Linked DNA regions of Caenorhabditis elegans. The protein of the gene in region 1 purifies or fractionates together with the protein of each later gene. This does not show direct contact. Each region holds a gene or a part of one and is shown on either strand. Other genes may lie near its edges.

Region 1 (2,879 bases):
TTCTCACTAAAAAGCGATTTTTAGCTGAAAAAAATCAGTTTTTCGTTGATTTACGCCATTTTTCACCGAAAAATCTGGAAATTTTTGCGGTTTTTTCATTTTTTTCACCTAAAATTTCGAATTTTCTTCAGTTTCCCGCCAAAAATAGAAAAAAAATAATATGAATTTTGCCATTTTAAGCTGAATTTCCCGTCGGAAACGGGAAAAATTGCAGATTTTATCGACTTTTCAGCCATTTTTTCACCGAATCTCGGCTTTTCCGCGAAAAAAAAAGGGAAAATTGATGAAACTCCTGGGTTTTACGTGTAAAATCAGTGCTTTCTCGAATTTTTTGGGTGAAAATTGGCCGAATTTTTCAATTTCCCATGAGCTTTGAGCCATTTTTCATCGATTTTTCCAGGTTTCCGTCCACTTACTGGACATGCTGCTGATATCCAGCAGGTTCCATGTACGCATCATCACAATAGGGACACCGATATCCCCATTCAGCTTTTGGAGTGTGATTTCGGAGTTTATGACGGTGTAGAGTCATTTGGGAGGCTGAAAAATCAATTTTTAGGCAGTTTTTTCGCGAATTTCCGCCAAAACCTGCAGCATAAACGCAATGTTCACATTGAAATGGCCGTGATTTGTTGTGAATATTCATATGCTCTGTATAACTCCGTTTTGACGATAATTCCTTCCGGCAAACTCTGAAAAAATTGAAAAAAATTCGATTTTTTCCAGAAATTTCTCACCCGCAGGTCCAAGTCTGCTTCATTGTCCTTCCATTCGAAGTTTGTCGGAATTTTTGAGTCGTCGGAAGTGCCAAATTCGATGGTCCCGGCTTCATGATGAGATGTTGCCAGTTTTCCTGAATTTCTGGATTATTTACGGAAATTCCCAGGTTCCGACTCACTTTACTGACGAAATGCTCACTTTTCGACATTTCCGGTGGTCTGAAAATCAAGAAAATCGATTTTTTCATCAAAAAACTCGAAAAAACATTGGAAAAATGAGAAAAATCCAGAAAAAATGACGAAAAACCGAGGAAAATAGGCGAAAAATTCAATGTCTCGAAAATAATGCAAGTGCGCTCCATTGGACTCGAAACGGTGAAATGCGCGCGAAATTCGAATTGGAAGAAAAATTTCGGTGGATTTCAGAGGTTTTCAGAGGTTTCAAGCTACCAAGAAAAAAAAATACACTTTGAACATTAGAAAATGTGTGGGAATTTGAAAAATAATTGAAAATCACTTTAGAAGCCCGAAAATTAAAGAAAATCGTCAAGAAAGTGGATTTTAACGAACAAATGACGAAGAAATCTTGAGAATTTCAATTTTTACGTATCATTTCAGTATTAATGTCGATTAATAAACATTTTTTGCCCAATAAAGTCAATTTCCAAGTTTCCAGCGAATAATCTCTGAAAATGCACAATAGGAAAACACAGAAAATATATAAAATTTGTCGTTTTTATTCATATTTTACAATAATCTTCAAAATTAGATGAATTATTCAATAAAACACGCTAAAGTCAAGCAGATATTCCTGCAAATTAAATTCAAATTCAAATTTCCCGCAGTTTTTTCAAAAGTACGCAGTACACCGCGACGCAAAAATGCACAAATCATCATTTTTTCGAATTCGGCGGCGCATTTTGAAAAAAAAGTCTTTTTTGTCCGTTTTTCAGCGAATTTTTTGCTTTTTCCATAGTTTTTTGCTTTTAATTTGAAAATCTACGCTAAATTCTAGTAAAAACTGTGCAATTTGCCACTTTTCCCCCCCTGAAAACCAACATTTTTGAGGTTTTTTCACCTTTTCTCCCAAAACTCGAGTAAAAATTTGAATTTTTCAGCAAAAATGGCCGATAATGGGAACGAGGAGGACCGAAACGGCTACATCATCAACCGAACTCGATTTGCCGCCGATTTTCACAACAGAAATGAAGATTTATCGGAATGGGAAGAGATGCGAGGCATCGAATGGTACTTTTTATGCCAGAAAACTCCCTGAAAACCTTAATTTTTCCAGGGATCTCATTCTTCACAGCGACGGAGGCCAACTTTACACACAGCTGGTCACTCGTTCTCGGCTACAATACGAAATCCCATGCAAATTCCTGCTGGAAGCTCAATATGGACAAGTAAAAGTCGGAGAAAACTTTGATGTGACAGTTTCTTCACGGAATCATACATTCGGAATGCGAATTGACCAACCTGCTGACAATGGAGCCATCAAGATTACTGCTTATATTGATTTCTGAATTTCCACTTGAATTTATGCAATTTGTGATATATTTTTAATTGTAACTATGTGTATACTTTGAATTAATTTCTTATTCTGTCGATTATCAGTGAAATATTGAATTTTAACCAATTTTATGATTATTTTCTCAAGTTTTCCGTAAAGGAAATCAAATATTTCGAAATAAATTCTGTTGGAGTACTGTAGTCGGCGAAGTACGCAATATCAAGTGTTTGCGTACTCGGCATTCTAATTGACGAGCTTCTGGCTCATTTTTAGATTTTCTTGGTTGTTTTTCACTTAAAAGTAGAGATTAACGTTTAAAGTGCGATTTTTTTGCTAATTTCTGCTGAAAAATAGAGTGTTATAACAAAATGTTTCTTTTCGTATGATTTTTCTCTTATTCTTTTCAATTTTCTGGCAATTTCCCTTGGTAAGAACATTTTCGCCAGAAAAATGACCGATAATTTGGAAGAAAAAATGAATTCGTTGAAAATGTAAGAATTTTACGGTTTAAATTGCCACATCTACTGATAAATTGAGTGGACTGAAATTATGAGAATTTGACGGATTTTCAGTGAATTTAACTAAGAAAAAATACACTTTCTCGAATTCAAACCTAAAACTTTTTTTTCAGCTCCAACACGGCCTCT
Region 2 (3,541 bases), 4.1 Mb from region 1:
TGGAATAAGCGAGGATTCGTGCTCATTCCCATATTATCATTAAAATGCAAATTGAATGCCACTAGTTTTGCAGGGGAAATAATTTATGTGTATCCATTGCTCATTGCCAGATTGATCATTCAGATGCATCGAAGAATTTGTGTTCGATTACTCTCATCAGCAAGATCTCATTAATTTTGCAGAATAACCTATGTTGCGTTGTATGTTCTTCGTTTTTAGCTTTTCGCTTTTTGGCAAGAAGAGCCCGTGACGTAAACAAGACCTCACACGAAGAATACTTTATGAGTTGTATGGGTGATGTTGGACGCGCACGGCGATCAACTCTTCAGGGCTCATTTATTTACTGTTTAAAAGTTTGAAAACCAAAGTTAGACAGTTGGAATGATCTAGAATAATGAATAGCTTCTTTGGTCTCTATACGTCACACATATATTTCATTTTTTGGTGGATCTACAAATGGAATAATCTAATCGGATTAAGAATGGAAAGCAATAATGGATGTCAGTTAATCCGGCATTTATACAATCAAGATGAATGGGTATAATCAGAAGATTTACCTACGTCGAAGGAGCCTCTTCATGATATCTGAAAATAGTCGGCTAACTTATAGTTGGGAGAGTATGTATACCATAGTCTTTGTTCACTTTTTCTTTCAAATATTCGTAAGCAATCGATCATTTGAAGATTCTGGGATTATGGAACAACTCAGAATACTGCAACGTTTCTCATCTTTATTCAGTTCGTTTGTTCAATTATCAGAAATGGTCATTATCACGGGTTCAAGGAAGAAGAAAATCAGGAATTATTCAAAAATGGGGATTATAGGAAAAGAAGACTGGCGACATCCCGACGAATAGCATATTATTGGACGAAAGGATTCAGGAATTAGTAGAAGACTTCTGGCATCGGGAGCTTATTGAAATCGAGGAAGGTTGTAAATCCTTTTGGTAGATTGCAACCGTCTCTTTTGCACAAACAACGTAGGCTGACCTGAGATGGATGGTTTGCAGCGTGGAATTGGAATGCCTGAAGTGATTTTATATAAGAAACCGATTCCTCCAATTATATTAAGCCTGATAATATTGAACCTACCTCTTGTAGACAAACGTTGATCACAGCGTGTCCTGGGATTGGATTTCCGTACATGGCCAAGATGTTGGTGTAATCATCGGAATCCATTTGAACTCCATTGACGTAGTACTTGTTGTAGTCCTTTGGGTCTGGCATGTAGCTACACAACTCGTAGATCGGCTCGCTCATCGTGTATCCTTTTGATGGATTGTTGACATCAATCGGCTCCCAGCACCGAATGCTCTTTGTGAGTTGATCGTGAGCATCTTGAACGGTGTTCTTAGCAGTTGAACGAACACTGTAACCCGAGGCCAGGACGAGTGAAGAGATGAGAATAACAGTTGGAGTGTTCAACATGTCGACCGTTTCAGTGAGATCGAAAAAAAGAGATCGGCAGATGTCCGAGTGACTCGAAGTAGTGATTAGCCCTACTGCCAACTCTGTTTATATGATGAAGCTGAAATGGGCGGAGTCAGTTTTTTAGTAACGAAAGGCGGGCTTTGAACAGAGCTGGAAAATAGGAAAAAGGAGGTGGAAAAGAAAAGCTGAAGATCAGGAGGTGTTTTTTAGAAACATGTGACAGATACGGGTGATAATGTTAAGATAAATGGTCAGCTCATGTTTTGATTAAGTTAAAAGTACATAAGGATCAAGGGAAGAATGCCAAGTTATGTCATATAGATAGTAAGGTTTTCAGAATGAGGAGATCGGAAAAAAATAACACGGATATCCCTTTATTCACTAATTGGGGTTTTTGACGTGTACTTATTTCACTAGGGCTGTACAAATCGGCGTCCGGTCGTCCGATTTTGACACCACCGGACGCACTGCGTCCGGTTTTGGGGTAGGTTTCCACGGCGGCCGACAATTTCCGAGTTTCGCCACTCACTATACTTAATCAGCAGTTTTATAGTGAGTGGCGAAACTCGGAAATTGTCGGCCGTCGTGGATAGCTACCCCCAACCGGACGCATGTGCGTCCGGTTCGGACGACCGGACGTCCGGTTGTACAGCCCTATATTTCACCGTACCAAACAGGGCGCCATTTGAGATCATTCTACACAGTGCGATCTTCCCTACTGTTGATCAGAACTCTTTTTGACTCAGCGATTCGGTGTTCTTTTGCCTCTTGACGTGAATGATTTCAGTTAGCCTCTACTAATTAGTTATCCGCATCGCTACCAGCACCAAAAATATTTCTGAACTCTTCTGTTTTGTGAGCCACAACGTTGACTCATTATTTGAACGACCAAATTTTGGAGTTAAAATTTTTTTAAAGACAATCTGCACGTTTAGTGATTGATCTACCACGCCTTATGAGGTGATCATTTGAATGTTTGCCAGTAGCTTTAAAGAGACATTTGATAAAGTATAGAAGATCAACAAATCGTTTTGTACTTTTAAATATGTCTCACTTCAACGAATGTAACTTTTCTAGTCGGCATTCCCATCCGAAAAAAACCGAAAAGTCCGAGCTCCCGGGCGTCACTGTTAATCTCAATTTAATCCTAGTGAATCTTAAAGTGTCCAGGAACCACACAAAATGAGGAATCCAATTTTCAGCGTGAAAATTTCAAATTTTTGAGAGGTGTGGAAGTGGCACATTTGCGTGTGAAGAACGCTTCTGAAAATGATTGAATGGTCACGAAGATGCTCAAAAAGAAATTTAAAAAAATGGCAAAAGTACATCTTGTGCCCTTTGCACTTTTCACCCAATTTCTTGTTCTGATTTCATTATTGACGTCAATAAAGGAAGAAGGACCCTTGTCAAATGACCCTATATCTGGTATCATTCTGACTACATTTTGTTGCAGATAGATCTGACCTGTGAAAAAAGTGGAAGTATTTAATATTCTGTCTTGTGATTTTTGAGCTCAAAACCCCAAGTGTCCACAGTTTCAGAAACTGTCGACTAGCTGGAAAAAGGAAGAATAATGCCTGTGAATAATAATAATGATTATTATAATACGTCAAACGAGACAGTTTCCTTTCAAATCAACATGTCTACGATATGAGAATAGGAAATTGAATCACTTTATAGGATTACAGTAAAATCCGATGTATGAGAGGAGAACAACAAAACAAAAACCACGCAAAAACTGGCTTAAAGTAGACTTATTCTTATGGGAGGCAAATTTTATAAACCCGCGCGATTTGGTAGATTACTTTCTAAACAAAATCTCCGAGTCCAGAAATTATTTTTTTTGGAGATTAAAACTAATATATGTTTATTTTCCAGCGATTCGACAATGCAGTCCAAGAATGCGATTTTATGAATAAATGGCCAGGCTACAGTCCGTCTTCAATGCGAAAAGATCTGAAAAAGTTGCATGATTTGGTGAGTTTCAACAGAAATGCTTCGACCACACTACATTACTCAACATCACTACAATTTTCCCACGTTTACAAAAAATTTACTAGAAAATTTGGTCTTTCGTGTGATTCTTCTACAAACTATAAGTGTGACTTGT

The links.
Region 2: the proteins of Y59A8B.12 (region 1) and droe-4 fractionate together in Caenorhabditis elegans (co-fractionation; one large-scale study listed by BioGRID). This does not show direct contact.

What each region holds. Positions count from the first base shown.
Region 1 is NC_003283.11:18,085,182-18,088,060, reverse strand, and holds Y59A8B.12 (MATH domain-containing protein), read left to right. Parts: upstream 1-1,836; 5' UTR 1,837-1,842; coding exon 1,843-1,967; intron 1,968-2,013; coding exon 2,014-2,245; 3' UTR 2,246-2,352; downstream 2,353-2,879. Other genes in the region: slr-2 (Synthetic with Lin-35/Rb), read right to left, coding at 417-540, 589-692, 738-853, 899-928.
Region 2 is NC_003283.11:13,990,649-13,994,189, reverse strand, and holds droe-4 (dietary restriction over expressed), read right to left. Parts: upstream 1,535-3,541; 5' UTR 1,429-1,534; coding exon 1,093-1,428; intron 1,027-1,092; coding exon 886-1,026; 3' UTR 714-885; downstream 1-713. Other genes in the region: ric-7 (CRAL-TRIO domain-containing protein), read left to right, coding at 3,310-3,408.